3 linked regions of the Caenorhabditis elegans genome follow. The protein of the gene in region 3 purifies or fractionates together with the protein of the main gene of each other region. This does not show direct contact. Each region holds a gene or a part of one and is shown on either strand. Other genes may lie near its edges. The genes, in order: evl-18, Y43F4B.10 and exos-9.

Region 1 (7,941 bases), 3.5 Mb from region 3:
CGCATATTCTCGACTGTTCCTCTACATATTGCGCCGGTGGAAGGCGATCTGTGTTCCACAAGGTCCATGAAGTCGACCACTTGTTTTGTGCATCCCTCGCATTCGAACAAGTACACTTTCCTAAAATAAATACTAATGTTAAGCCTTAATTAATTTTTTTTGTTTTCAAGGAAGTAAGAGTCTTTGAAAACCAATATCTCAAAAATTGCAAACATTTTTCGGCGCCAAAACTTACGTGTGTATCGAAAAATGGGTCAGAGTGTCGGAAAATGTGCCGACGAAGTTACACTCATCGCCCCTCCGATTTTTCATGAACCGACATCTGAAGAAGTTTTTATTCTGTTCATAACTATCGGTTCTGCAAAAAAGCTATTTTTGTTGATGAAATATTCGCATTACTCACATTAATGCCTTAATATAAGGTTCCATATGCCGCCGTCAATTGATTGAGCTGAAAATTAGAATTGTGTTGAGAGCATATAAGGAAAAAAGAAAATTAAGACGGAGAATTGTGCAACTGAAAATATTCGAGAGGACCCTATTGTACACGTGGCATATCCATAAATATGTGCCACGAGCTGGGGAGCGAGGTTAAGGTCACGTTAAACATTTTATTAATTCGAATTTATATGGCAGGTTTCATAAAATTAAGTTGTTTTTCTCTTATATCCTAGACTTTTTAATAAGGTAAAAATCGACGAATTTGTAGCTTCCTTTAAAAATTAAAAATGTTATAGTAGATTACAAAAATGGCCAGAGTAGAGCGCATGTATGAATATTCAATGGTGGCGTCCGTGTTTTGTGTAAAATATTCTCATTGTGTACAATATTGTAGGAATACACTCAAAACAAATAGTGTTGCCTCGACATTTGCAATTTGAAAGTGTTACAGCACCCTTTTGATTTTATGAATATAGAAAAAATGTGCGAGAAAAATCAACGAGCGTCCCCGATTTGCCAATAAATCGTGGCAAAAAGGAAGAAAAACGAATAGATACGTGGTATGAGCGGAAGGAAGAGTTCGTTCGTCCTTCCAAAATAAACTGAGCTTTCTCTCTCTTCTACTCGGTTTTTATACCCGCTTTTTACGGGAGTGGATGGGCGGTGTGAAGCCAAGTGACGCGCCGCCGGTGCGTCACATGGCTTTTCCCAGTAACACGTGGTCTAGATACGAGCGGCTGCAGGGAACAAAGAAACATGCCAGGAATTCAATTAAATGCATTTGAAACCGGAATTTTCCGACCAAAAATTGTTTAAATTATTGAAAACGACAGAAATTAAATATTTGAATTTCGCCTAAAACAAAACAAAACATTTTCGTTGCGAGACCCACAACTCCAGAAAATGCGTGCTCCTTTAAACTAATTTCGCTTTTTCAACTGAATTAGCTGAATTTTGTGAATAATCAAAGAAAATAAGGAGGACTCCTTCCCCCGGAGGGTATTTGAGAGAAAAAAACAAAAAGTTAAATACAGTAACTGAAAAAACTCAATAAACGTAGATATTTAACTTACGAAAGAAAAACCTCCTCGCCTTGAATGTAACCTACGCGTGTCTGTGTTCATAAAATCCTGATGTGTATTTATTCATATTATTTTCTATGAGTTTGAAATTGAAATACAAAAATTTGTAAATATTGTATAATATTTACATTTCTGACCAAATCTACTCAATCCTCCTCCCCGTTCACCGCGTGCGCGATGACGTCTTCTCCAAACACTCCAGATGACGTAACATACCACCATTCTGTCATTCAGCAACAGCACATTATTATTTTCAATTGAATTGCCCACTTTTAGATTTATTTCTGTAGATTTTTCGGTTTTCAATTCAGTTTTTGCGAGAAATCGAGAAATGCAATTGCGCCCTGCCGCACTCTCAACGCGCGAAGCCATTAATTTGAAACGAACGCATCTTTTTTCACACTTTTCTGGTGATTTTCTCGAGATTTTTTGCTTATTATCTTTTTGAAATTAATAAAAAATAATTTTAAATCAATATTATAAATTTCAGATGATCATCGAAGACAACTTTCGGCAGGAATTCTACAATAAAATCAAGAAAGGCGATAAAGTGAGTTTAAAGTCATTTTTACTCCATTTTCACGTTATTTCTGCTTCAGAGTGTGGTTCTAATCGTTTCAGTCGACACGGATGCATTATGCACGACGATGATTTTGACGGTAATAATGCAATTTATTTATAAATCAATGATTATTTATTTTCTTTTGAACGGAGTAAAGTCTCCGCGTGAGATCGACAAAAATTATTCCACAAAAGATCCAAAATGGGATGAAATAGACAATATATGGAATTGAAAGTGCAAATGTCAGCCGAATTGCGATGAGAACCTCGAAAACCACTTTGCAAGTGATGCATACTGAAAATCGATTTTTTTTATTCAAAAAATATATTTATTTTCGTACTAACCGAACTGTCCTGTGTAAACATTATTGAATGGATACAAAAAGTTCCAGAAAGCGCGGATTCCGAGGTTTTGCTGTCCATTTGTGCGTAATTCGGAGTAAATGTTGTAAAAGAGCACTCCGAAGCACGCAGCGTCTGTGGCAAAAACTATAAGACAAAGGAAAATGTACTGTTTGTCGCCACTTGAATTATCCTGGAATTATTGTCTCCGGTTTATTGAAAATATTTCAATTTATCTTTCATTTCTGCTCACCAAAAACAGAGCCAAACAAATCGTGGTGGCAAGAAGGTCAAGGAAGACACAGATCGCTTTTTGACCCGATAAAAGTCGCATATTCATAAATGAACTCAATTTTATTCACATAATATTGAGAAAAATAGTCGATGGAGACAATAAGAGGGGGAGGGTGCAGAGAAAGAGAAGCGTACGAGAGAGCGCGGTTGCTGTGAGAGCATTAGATAGAACAATTATTCAAATTTCAGCATCTGCTACGCTGTGATGACATCCCATTCTCGATTCTTGCAGTGGAAGGATGGAGCTCGGTGGAGAAGATTTTTGCAGATTCACAAGAGCAAAGTATGTGAGAGAGTCGAAATATCCCCAATTTTTAATTAAAAAATAATTCCGTCACCGTTACCACACGGAAAAGTGGCAAAATTGGAGTAAAAATACAGTATCCGGTCTCGATACGAAAGATAGTACTGTAATTTTGAGCTCCCGTTTTTGCGCAATTCATATCGATGTGTTAGATTTATGTGATTTTATTTTTTAATATATAGTGTTTTTTTTAAAATAAACACATATTTTTAACGAGAAAACTATGAAAAATCGATAAAATTGCTCATCAACGAAAGTTTGAACCTACAGTACTCTTTAAAGGCGCACACTTTTTCGCAATTAGCAAATATTTGTCTGTCGAGATCCGGCGGAACTCTATACCGCCATATCAATTTCTAAGAAGTTTTATCACAATTTTCGGAATTTCGGAGCAAGATTTCCGCTGTTTCCTTTAATAAATTGATAAAAAAACATTTTTTATTACATTTTTATTACAGAATGTCATTATATCCTAATCAATTGCGGAGCAACACGATCCCTGACACGACTACAAATCCCGCCGGCTTCAATAGCATTTGTCATTGATTCTCATCGACCATTTCACATTGAGAATGTCTATGAAAATGGTCAAATTCATTTATTGGCAAATCCAAGTGAAATGAGCGAATTGCAAATTCCTGATCTTGAATCTGTGATTCGAGAGGATTCTGACGATGAAGAAGATTCAGATGAAGATGAAGATCAAGAGTACATCTCATATGAACAACGAATGGAAAAGATTCGACGGAAAGCGATTAAGAGGGAAGAAATGCAAATATGGGAAAGGCAGAGGAGGACAATTCTCTGGAGATACTACGAATCGACGTGGTTCAGCTCGCCGAGCTGTGTGACTTTACTCGAGATGGCCGCAGAAATGAACAGAGTATCTGCTGAAACTATGTGGTTTACTGCGGTCGGGTTGAATAGTGCGATGGCTGATAAATTGGTAAGTTTTAGGTGTGAAGGCTTTGAGCGAATCAAAAATTTCGGTTTCCTCTGAAAAATATCGAAAAAAAATTTTATGACGAAAGAAAAACATCGATTTTTGGCTCAAAAAATGATGCAATTTATCGGATCGATCTTTAATTTCAGGAAAATACGATGGTACAGTAGTTCTTAAAGGCGCATACTCTTTCAAAATCCAAAAAAATCGTGTAGAGACCAAGTTTTTAGGGCAAAAAATGGTATTTTTGGGTTTTTTCAAAAATAATATAATCCAGACACAAAATTTTGCGATTTTTGCGCCAAAAATACGGCGCCCGAGGTATTGACAACTGCTGAAAGATGTGCGCCTTTAAAGAGTACTGTAGCTTTAAATTCTCGTTGTTGCGAAATTTCATCGTTTTTGACAAATTTTTGAATGAAAAAAAAAATTGAATACATTTTTTATCAAAAAAAACTATAGATAATCGATGAAAATTCCGCGACAACGAAAATTGAAAGCTACAGTAAACTTTAAAGACGCAGACATTTTTATATTCCACACAAAGGTGTTGTTTCGAGACCTATAGCATTTCAAATTGATTAATAATTATGTTAAAACACCCCAAAAATCTACAGATTTTGAACAATTTTCAGTAAAAAAATTGGCAAATTACCAATTATCGCTAAAATTGCACTATTACACAATTTAAAAAGCCATAAAACAGTATTTTATACAACTTTTTTTCAGATCTCAATTGAAATGTACACCCAAATCTGTGTAGATCGAATGCGTCCGTTTGTCCATCGATTTATGCCAAAAAATATAGTGAATCAAGGAAAAGTGGATGATCTCTTGCATATTACATTTGGCCGAGAACTACCACTTGCTCTATATTCACATTGGGATTTGTTCAGTGCAATGATGGTCAGCGAGTATTTCTCGATTAAAACAAAAAATTGGACACAAAAAGGAGATGTGAATATTCGACATTTACTTGCTCAACTTGGAATCACTCTTCACGAAACAAAACAAAAATTCGAAGCTCTTCCAACGGAGCAACGGAATTTGGTGGTTGATGTTCTGGAAAAAGAAATGGATTCATCGTTTGCAACATTTTTTGGAACTCTTGGATATTGTGGGAAGTTGAGTGCATGTGATGTTGCAAGAGCTGTCACTTTACGATTGGAAATGCCGAAAAGTGAAACTGTAAGGGTTTTTTTTTGTAAAAATTTATATTTTTAGCCATTCTCTTCCAATATTTTAAATTAAAATTCAGTGATAAAGTATAGAAAAATATTTAGTTTATCTGAAAATAACTATTAATTTACTTGGAACAACTGAAAAAGTTCTCAATAATTCTCTGATTTTTTCGAGCAATTTTCAACTTTCAGATAACTTTTTGCACTCTTTAAACAATTAAAAGTGCTGAAAAATTATCTGGAAGTTGAGAACTCTCGGAACAAAATCTACCAGCTTTTAGACAATTATTTGAGCATTTCTCCAATTGTTCCAACTGAAATAAAAGGTATTTTCAGATAAATCAAATATTTTTTCTAATATTCTGAAATGCCAAAAAATAAAAATATATTATTCCAGATAATGAATCGTTTCCGATCCGGTCAATCAATCCTCAGATCATCAATAACTGGAGAACGACAAGATCGCCTGAATCTCAACAACACGTTCACTTCGATCTGCCAACGAACGCTTCAAGTGTCGTGGAAAACCGTCGCGGCGGCTATTAATCAATCGGAGATTATTCCAAATGGGCCGTATTATCTATTCTCGTGCTCACGGTCCATTGGTACGGATTTTAGAATCATTTGGAAAAAGTCAAATCGGAGAAAATAAAAACTCGATTTTTAAGCATTTTATTAGCATAATCAGAAGATGAAGTTCGATGGGGTCATGTGTTGTGGCTCGGCTATCACTTGGCTCCGCGAGTAGATCCACCAGTTGATTTTCCAGATGCTTCCTCAGCGACGCGAGCCTCTCTCTGTAATTTATTTTTGATGGGAAAATTAGTTGAAATTTTGAATTCAGAAATCCTCAAAGCGGTTTTTGAAAAAAACTCAAATTCGAATTCCCGCAATTTTTTTGATTAAATTCTGAATTCCCCGAGAAGCTAATGTTTCCAAATAACAAAATGCTTACCTTTGCAACCTTGCAAGCTCTGGCATGAGCCATTCTCTCCACCTGCATCTTCTTCTTCATTCGCTTTGGCATCAATTTCTTTGCGGCAGCCATTGCAGACCTTCTTCACAAGTTTCGATAACTAGAACTAACGAGAACTGATTTTGTTTCAAAAAGTTGAAGGAGAGTGGGAAATAAAAAAATCAGGCTTCACGTTTCTCGCGTCATTTGTTTTGAATTTTTTAAATAATTTCTTTTGAACAGATTAATTTTTCGCGTGTAAAAATCTTTTTGGACATCTGCTCTTTTGGTCTGGGGTCTTGGTTGGGGTTTTCAGAGAAAATCAGAAATTTTGAAAATTAATAAAACATTAAATTTTTAAATCAAATTTTGTTGATGTTGATGGGAAAAAATTGAAAACTAGTGAGAAAATTTAGTACTTTTATAGTCTAAAAAATATATTTCCAGACGAGGATATGGTCGACTCACGTCATTTTCTCTACAACACCGCCGGATTCATGATTCGCGCCTTTGCCTCAATGAAGAAAGGACGTACAACAAAGCCGCTAATCGCAATGTTCCCATTGACTGGAGAGAGTGCTGGATGGCTTGTAGTCACTGGAGTTATGCCGATTGCCACAATTTATGAGGATTCACTACTTAAAACGTAATATTCGGCCTGTAATTTTAACTTTAAAATTGATTATTTTCAGGTGTATTGGTCGTGCTTTCGAACGAGTAAAGAAAATGACTCCACCACTTCGTATCGTTGATGACTACTTTAATTCTGATATTATTCGCTTGAAATCTGAAGATCGTACTCGTTTTATTGATTTTCTGCAGACTGTCTTTGAGGGCACATCCAACTGATCTCTTACAGGCGTTTCTACCTATTGCACCATCTTGTTCCAATGCTTTTAATGAAAAAAAAAGTCTTAAAATATAGAGCATTACTTAATTTATCGGAAAATAGCTGAAAATGGCTTGGAAACTGCCATTTTTAGGCGATTTTCCTGCGTTTTCTGTGATAAATCAAGTGATTTTCTATATTTTGACACTAATTTTTAATGAAAAACATGGTGCATTAGGCTATTTTGTAGAATTGCCTCCTACTGTTATAATGTTCAATCTTTCTCATACACGGGCACACTGACTTTCCGAGTTTAATTTTTATTATCAATTTCTGAAATTATTTCCCCTATTTACTTCTCCACTTCTCATTTCATTGTCACATATTCACTTTATTTTGATCAGTTTTCACGTGAACATATTGTAATTTTTTTTCTGATGATGATTTTTTTCTGATGATTGATTAAATCAACTTCCAACTTCTTCAAACTAATTTATTTTATATTTTATCTAGTCTCAAATTTACGCACTTATCATTTTTCTACTCGAAAATGTCTACGCATAAGGTATGTTCGAGTTGGCCGATTTTCCTGATTAATTGAGGATTTTCTAGCAATCATATTTTGTGAGTTCAACACCGAATGGTCTTGATGGAGCTCAATATCTTGCTGTAAATCGTGATGGAAGTGTTCTTTATGGTCTTAAAGTTCGCATCGTATTGAGCATAGTTGAAGCTCCGGAACAAGCTCCAGAAGTCATCACTACAGCAACTGAAAAGTCTATCTGCAAATACCACGTGGCATCCGGAAACACAAAAACGTTCCAACTTGACGACGATATTGATCCGCTTCTTCTCGCTCGAATTATTGAATTTTATATGATTTCGGATAATATTGTCGCGCTGATTTCTTACGATTCAGAGCATTTTCAAGTTATACAGACACTTATTCATCTGGAACATTCGAAAGAATGGGCTCAGACGATTGTCGTGAGAAGATTGACTATTAGCA
Region 2 (3,140 bases), 6.1 Mb from region 3:
CAGTGAGCCGGATCGAGTGTCTGAAGATGTATCGAGAAGATACGTGGATACGCAAGCACGTGATGTGTCCTCTGATGGTATCCGACGAGCAAATGCTGGGCGATTTGACAGCTTCACACTTTTTGATCGCATTTAAATGAGCTCAAAAAATTTGTAATTTTGAAAATTTACTAAAAATGCGGTTTTCAAACGTAAAATGTTTCAATTTTTCGTCAAAAATACGGTGTCCGGTCTCGACACGAAACAATTTGTTGTTAAATGCGAAAAGGTGTGCGCTTTTAAAGAGTACTGTAATTCCAAAATTTTTCGTGATGTGGAATTTTCATCGAATTTTCAGTTTTTTAGAAATAAAGTATTATTTTAACGAATAACGTTAAGAAATCGATAAAAATTTTACAAAAACCAAAGTTTGAAATTACAGTACTCTTTAAAGGCGCACACTAGTTTGTATTTAACCAAAAAATTGTCGTGTCGAGACCAAATACCGCCGTTTTGGCTCCAAAACCGCCAAATTTCGAGTCTATACATTGGTGAACTATTGAGATTGGAATAAGACACATATTCATGGAAAAAATATTGGGAATAATTTAAAACCCATGAGGATCGTGATGGAAATTATAGCAAAAAAATTAAAGTTTCCAGTTTGCAGGAATGGTAAAAATAAATACAATTTGAAATACATATATAAAAAAGCAAGATTAATTCTTCGAGGCGGCCTCCGATGATGTCTCTTCAGGCTTCGGAGTCTCTGATTTCTGCGCAACTCTTTGTGCTTCGATCGCAGCGTCTGCCTTTTTTTTGTCTGTTTCGGCCTCTTGTTGACACGCTCTGCAAATGATTTTTTTTCTCTCAATTGATTTCTCGATTATGACGATCAAATATTTGATCGACACTTATAATTCGAGTGGAAAATCGACGAAAAAACTCAAAAACCTACCTAATCAGAACTTTTGCCGCTTGAATATTCCTCTTCAACCGTTCACAGGTCAACTTATTGAATGTATATGTTGGACGAACGTCTTTCCCGATTTCTTCGATCAACTTGAGCAGAACTTCGTAATAAGGAGTGCCTTCTTGCATCTGAAATCATTATTTTTTCAATTAAAATTGTATATTTAGATTTTTTTTTAAATATTTTACCTGAAGATTCGGCACAATTGAGATAAGCGTTTGAAGATCTTCTTGTGTCGCCATTTTTCTAAAACAAAATAGGTTGAATGAATTACTGCGAGAAATCAATAAAAATACAGAGAACGGGAACACCACCGTTCTCTGCGTCTCTTTTCAAAACACGTTTCAATGGAGCACATTTGCTTTAGGATTTTGGCGGTTATTTTTACGATATTTTTTTTTGAGAAATCGAAAAACCAAACAATTTTGTTTTGTCGAAATTTTGAAAAAAAAAAGGATTTTTGGAAAAATATAATTTTCCTCTTTTTAGAGAAAAACTATCTGTTTCTTATGATTTGTTCTCATTAACATAAATAAAATTTGATAAAAAATAGTTTTTTTTGTTAATTTTCTAAACATTTTTCCAATTTTTCGGTTTTCCCGGTCTCGCCACGGCAAATATTGGTTAAATGCGGAAAAGGTGTGCGCCTTTAAAGAGTACTGTAATTTCAAACTTTTGTTGAAACGTACGGAATTTCATGATTTGCAGCAACACAAGTTTGAAACTACAGTACTCTTTAAAGGTGCACGCCCGTTTGTATTTAACAAAATATTGTCGTTGTGAGACCGGGTACCGTATTTTTAGTGTGAAAATTGCAAAATTTTGCGGCTGGGTAATATAAAATTGAATCGAGATATTTAAATAAATTGGTTAAAATTGATACCACATTTAAATAATATTTCAAAAAATTCGATAAAAAATATTCACAGAAGCTCGAATTTTATTAACAAAATAAATAGTACATGTTATTCGGGAATGAAACGAAAATGAAAAAAAAATGCCGCAAAAATATGAAAAAATCATCATCACAAATTGAACAACCGACAAGGAAGGACACGAAATATACAAAAAAAAATTCCAAAAAATTCCATAAAGGTGCAATAAAATTCTGGGAATTTCCAGCTAAAACGCTGAAAATATTTAAATATTATAGATATTTAAATCTATGCAAAAGTTTTTGCAATTTCGATAAGTGCACTATAGGTTCCCGTTGTGAATCCAATAAAGGCAAAAGTGAGAAGAACGATATTTTTGATCCATAATCCAGTGCTCAACTCGTTTTTCGCGTAGGATGTCTGAAAAAAATTCAATTTTTTTCATTTTTAATTAATTTAAAAAAATTGGAATTCAAAAATTCCTACCAAAAGTTCAATGCACGGAGGGAAGAGAAGAGCCATTGAAGCTCCAGAAAATGCTCCGATTAATGAGATGAAAAGAGCCAAATGAGGAATAAGCTCAGCTATTGCACCTGGAAATTTTTTTTCAAAAAATTAGAAAAAATCAGTTTTTTTCTAAATTTTTATATAATTTTTTTCTCGTCTAAATTAATTATTTGATATCAACCTGAAAAAAAACCTTTGATTTTTATGTGCAATTTTTATAGTATATTTCCAAAATGTCTCAGAAAAAGTCTGGATTTACCGAAATTCTCTCAATTTTTATTTCATTATCGATTTGAAACACAATTTTCTGCGAAAAAAGTTTAAATAAATGTATAATTATCGATTTTTAGACCAATTATTTTATTTTTTTGATCAAAAATGTCAGAAAAAGTCTCAATTTACCAAATATAACTGTTTAAAAATTTATTAAAATTTTCTAAATTTGTTATGATTTTTTTCTAAACTTATTATTTGATTATTATTTTTGAAACACAATTTTTCCGCAACAAAAAAACTTAAATTATCGATATTTAGGTCAATTTTAGATTTTTTTAAACGGAAAATGAAAAAAAAAATAATTTTTGCGAATAATATTTTTTTTTTGAAACTTACAAGTCAAAATAACTCCGGAATATCTGGCAATGTAGATGTACAATGTTTGTTTATCGACGGGAATCTGAAATTTTGAAGAATTTTGACCAATTTTCATGGAAATTTCTCCAAAAAACCTTTCTAGTAATCCATTTTTCGATTCTTTCCATTGGCACATAGAATTGAAGAGGATAGGAGATCATGATGCACGCCAC
Region 3 (3,985 bases):
GTGTTTGTGGAGCATTATACTTAAACGCAATGTTTCGCTGTTTTTGCGTCAAACATACGGTACCTGGTCTCGACACGACTAAAATTTATTGAAAAGGGTGTGCGCCTTTAAGGATTACTGTAATTTTAAAATCTCGTTGCTAAGCTAATATATTTATAATACGAAAAATTTAGGAAATTTTCGTAGCTACGAAAGTTTAAAATTACAGTAATCTTCCAAGGCGCACAGCATTTTTAAATTACAAAACCTTGTCTTATCGAGACCGGTACCGTATTTTTTGAACAGAAATCGCAAAATTTCGTATCAGCGTATTAAGAGACCACCAGTTCATGAGAATGCCTACTTTCTGGCACGAAAGTAGCGGAAGCAGAGAGCATGCGGCGAAGAGAGATTTAGGTGCCTTCGCTACGAGATATTAAAACAACGGTAGGCATTCTCATGATCTCATGGTTTCTTAATAATATAAATATTGCATTGGTTTTTTTCTCTATCTCATGTCAATCTCTGTTCAGGAATATTTAGCTGCTAAATGTCTTATTCAACTGAATCCCGTACTTCCCGAATGAAACTTTAAACGATTCATAAACACAACAAGGCAACATTGCGAACAAATAAAAATGGGAAGGAATGAAAAAGACAACAAATTAAAGAAATTAGCGGCATCTAAACTACTTCTTCTTTTTCTTTTTAGCATTCACGAGGCTATCTTCGGCATCTGGAGCTTCTTCCATTGGCACGTCGTTCAATACTGTTTCGGATCCCAGTGTCATTGTTTGAACTTCTTCCTCCTCGTCGTCATCGTCGAGTCCGTCAAGAAGATCGTTGACTTCCTCTACTTCGCGCTTAAACAGTAATAAATAGTAAAAAAATGTTTAAATAAAATCTTAATTTCACAAACCTTTCGGCTGGAAACTGCAACAGTCTGCTTCTCAGTCACTTCAACTTGTCCAACACTATTCTGAATAGTTGTAAGTTGCTCGGCGAGCAATGTCTCCTCATCAACATCTTCTTGCTTGACTGATCCGACACTCAATGGATTCTCATTAAGAATAACACTTGGTTGGTAGAGACTTCTCTGTGTGAACGACTCAGGCTCAGTTTTGATTACAGGAGCACGAATTTGACGAGAAGCTGTAGTTCCAGCTGTGAGAATGAGTGATGGAGTGGTGATTGCAAAACCATCCGGACGTTTGAATGCGCTTCTGAAATATTTTACAATTGAATAATAATTTCAAAATTTGAAAATCTAATGTTACCTTTCAATTTGATCCTGTTTAATGACGTCACTAACAACTGCAGTGAGCGCTTCCGCACGAGCCATTGCCAACTTTACGCAACGCTCGATCTTAATAATTTTAAAGTCATATTCGAAAATTTGAAATGCGAAATTGAATACCTGCTTTGTTGATAAAATGAGATTTGTGCTCTGATGGAGGGCACAAACTTCGCGACGCTTATTGCAGGCAACTACAATTGATCCATCAAGACATGCAGTTTCTTTATCTGTTGGATCGATGACTACAATTTGTCTGAAAATTAAAAATTAAAATGAATTTGTGACAGAAATCAAACCCTTTATCCAATAATCCGATGGTTGTACAAATTGGCATATGGTAAATGTTCAATGGAACTGGTGCTTTTTCGTATTCCGAATACTGAAATTTGTGATTACTTAAGAACTTTAAAAAAATTCAAACTCACGATAAGAGTGTGATGTGGTTCCAAAGTGACATTTGGTCGTCTAAAATGCTGAAGAGCTGTGATAGCAGCGAGACAAGCACAATCAAGAAGACTTCCATCTTCGTCAAGAATTCGGACATCTACTCGAATTTTCCAAATTTCTTTTCCAGCGCGAATGCAGAGAGCCTGGAATTTATTTTTGTAATTTAAGTTCTCTACAGCTCAATTCACCTCAACATCAATACACCGAGAATCACGAATAATAAGCTCCAATAGACGAATCAGTTCCATTCCTTTGCTCCCGAGACGGTCATGCTCATTGGCTAAAAAAAGGATAATTGTTAATCAAAAATAGGAATCTAACCATAATTAGCCATTGGACTCAAATCAACGTCAATATTAATAACTCCTTTGTGTGGTCTCATTGACGATGGTTCAGCGATTTCGGCACTTACTGCAGCCATTACTCTGAAAATTCAAAATTTATGACTATAAATAATAAGGAAAAACTAACGAACTTTGTATTTCCAATAGTGCAAATTGCAGTTCCAACTTCTGCTCCGACCACTAACTTCACATCCCGAAATTCTTCCAGACTACGAAAATCAAATCTCTGAAAAAAAAATTAAAAATAAATCCAATGAAACCAGTTTACTTTTCCAATTTTCAGCGCCTCTAATATCACAGCCTTCTCGCAGTTTGTCACCGGTTGAACTCTCATTACTTCTGAAGTTAGATTTTAAAGTAATTATTTTTTCGAACTGTAAGTACTCAAGGCGTTTGAACGCGAACCACTAGCTAGAATACAAAAAAGAAGCAAGAAACATATTATTTTGAACAAGAATCAATGCAAGGTGTAGTATTAAAATCGAAAATTGATAACAACAATTTGAATATCGGAAAAGCAAGAGATTTTCAGAAGTAGATTTCTCGGCAGACATTTATTGTGTATTCATCGTGGCGAGTTGAGACTGAACCTTGGTCTGGAATGCGTCCGAAATATAGGCCCGAGTTCTTCGCTTCTCTTTCAGAATTCCCTCAACTGTCTCAACCTGATATAAATAAGATTAAATACTCAAGTAAGACACTTTCGATGTTCGTACCTGCTTTGTAATATGTTCCTTTTTACGGTCAAAAATTGCTTTGGCTTTCTCGCGGTCCAGCTCCACGAAGTATCCAGTTCCGATCTCCACCAAATGCTTTGATGGATCAGATAGTTCAGCACGGATGTAGAGCTGAATAATCATTAATTATTAAAAAAGTACAATGAAAATATACCGATTCAGAAAGTGGAATGAGAGCTGTATGTCCTGCAGTTGCAATTTTCACATCGTCCAAAGCAGAAATACTTTTTTCGTTCCGCGTTAAAAGACCCTGCAAATATTTTTATTAATTTGAAAAACAAATACGAAATTCAACAAACTTTAAGAGCATTGAAAGACTCCTGGAAGAAGTTTAATTCTTGTTCGCAATTCTTCTGGAGTTCTCCGAGTTGTTGCAAGCTGAGCTCTGACAGCGGTACTCCTTTCGGTTCTTCTGCCATTCTAAAATTATTTATAATTATTAAAGAAGAATATTTATAACAATCTTTATTGAAATTATGATCTAAAAATGGATAAAAGGATAATGAAAAAATAAGCATTAAAAATCGGTGAAATTTTCTCGAATTGAACCATTGGCCTAGAAAATTCAAATGTGCGCGGCCACGGCCACTGTTGGCGGTAATTCAAAAATAATATTTTAAGGAAGGACGAAAAGTAGATTTTTGCTCTATTCATCAAAATATATTGAAGGTGTTTTTTTTTTAGAAAAATTAATTGAATAATATTTTATGGAGATTCCAACCAATTAATACCGATTTTGTAACTTTTATTTGAAGACATTTAGCTCCAACACCAGACTTTTCTCCTTTGTTTCCCTGCAATGTTGTGTATCTTCTTGAGGGTATTCCCCGATTTCGCCTTCACTTTTTTATTTGTTGAATCATAAAAAAATTCCGGTGTATAATAAATTAGACTGGGATACTTTGAACTATTAGTTCGAAAATCAAACATCATTTGCAGTTTGGAACTTCTTGGCGGATCTGTTTCATTTGAAAAAGGCATAACTGAAATACAACATTTTTTGGAAAGGTAAAGCTACTACAACCCCTAGAATTCTATAAACTCACAAAGATCCCTTCATAAAATTGTTTCCTTTTTATAGACGAATCTTCTCGAAGTGGAAAAGTTGTTTTGAACCTTCAAAGATATCACTTTCATCTCCTTATCATTCAATTTCCTTTTCTCTAATCTCTCTAATTTTT

What was found.
Region 1: the proteins of exos-9 (region 3) and evl-18 fractionate together in Caenorhabditis elegans (co-fractionation; one large-scale study listed by BioGRID). This does not show direct contact.
Region 2: the proteins of exos-9 (region 3) and Y43F4B.10 fractionate together in Caenorhabditis elegans (co-fractionation; one large-scale study listed by BioGRID). This does not show direct contact.

Annotation. Positions count from the first base shown.
Region 1 is NC_003281.10:3,729,112-3,737,052, reverse strand, and holds evl-18 (Cell division control protein 45 homolog), read left to right. Parts: upstream 1-2,013; coding exon 2,014-2,073; intron 2,074-2,122; coding exon 2,123-2,182; intron 2,183-2,201; exon of another isoform or gene 2,202-2,206; coding exon of another isoform or gene 2,207-2,379; intron 2,380-2,429; coding exon of another isoform or gene 2,430-2,619; intron 2,620-2,679; coding exon of another isoform or gene 2,680-2,760; exon of another isoform or gene 2,761-2,798; intron 2,799-2,909; coding exon 2,910-3,003; intron 3,004-3,482; coding exon 3,483-3,970; intron 3,971-4,696; coding exon 4,697-5,155; intron 5,156-5,545; coding exon 5,546-5,753; intron 5,754-5,804; exon of another isoform or gene 5,805-5,876; coding exon of another isoform or gene 5,877-5,945; intron 5,946-6,103; coding exon of another isoform or gene 6,104-6,196; exon of another isoform or gene 6,197-6,278; intron 6,279-6,550; coding exon 6,551-6,749; intron 6,750-6,795; coding exon 6,796-6,952; 3' UTR 6,953-7,413; downstream 7,414-7,941. Other genes in the region: F34D10.4 (C2H2-type domain-containing protein), read right to left, coding at 1-120, 236-358, 404-429; F34D10.3 (Serpentine Receptor, class E (Epsilon)), read right to left, coding at 2,207-2,379, 2,430-2,619, 2,680-2,760; F34D10.8 (uncharacterized protein), read right to left, coding at 5,877-5,945, 6,104-6,196; F34D10.9 (CPSF_A domain-containing protein), read left to right, coding at 7,483-7,497, 7,545-7,941.
Region 2 is NC_003281.10:13,312,126-13,315,265, reverse strand, and holds Y43F4B.10 (uncharacterized protein), read right to left. Parts: upstream 1,199-3,140; 5' UTR 1,195-1,198; coding exon 1,141-1,194; intron 1,081-1,140; coding exon 938-1,080; intron 829-937; coding exon 699-828; 3' UTR 545-698; downstream 1-544. Other genes in the region: dph-7 (methylated diphthine methylhydrolase), read right to left, coding at 1-132; slc-36.1 (Amino acid transporter transmembrane domain-containing protein), read right to left, coding at 2,116-2,247, 2,314-2,420, 2,947-3,010, 3,063-3,140.
Region 3 is NC_003281.10:7,195,661-7,199,645, forward strand, and holds exos-9 (Exosome complex component RRP45), read right to left. Parts: upstream 2,407-3,985; 5' UTR 2,402-2,406; coding exon 2,336-2,401; intron 2,294-2,335; coding exon 2,199-2,293; coding exon of another isoform or gene 2,195-2,198; intron 2,149-2,194; coding exon 2,045-2,148; intron 2,004-2,044; coding exon 1,912-2,003; intron 1,867-1,911; coding exon 1,702-1,866; intron 1,656-1,701; coding exon 1,573-1,655; intron 1,530-1,572; coding exon 1,397-1,529; intron 1,346-1,396; coding exon 1,257-1,345; intron 1,203-1,256; coding exon 899-1,202; intron 843-898; coding exon 669-842; 3' UTR 565-668; downstream 1-564. Other genes in the region: pfd-5 (putative prefoldin subunit 5), read right to left, coding at 2,622-2,732, 2,784-2,915, 2,959-3,054, 3,104-3,223.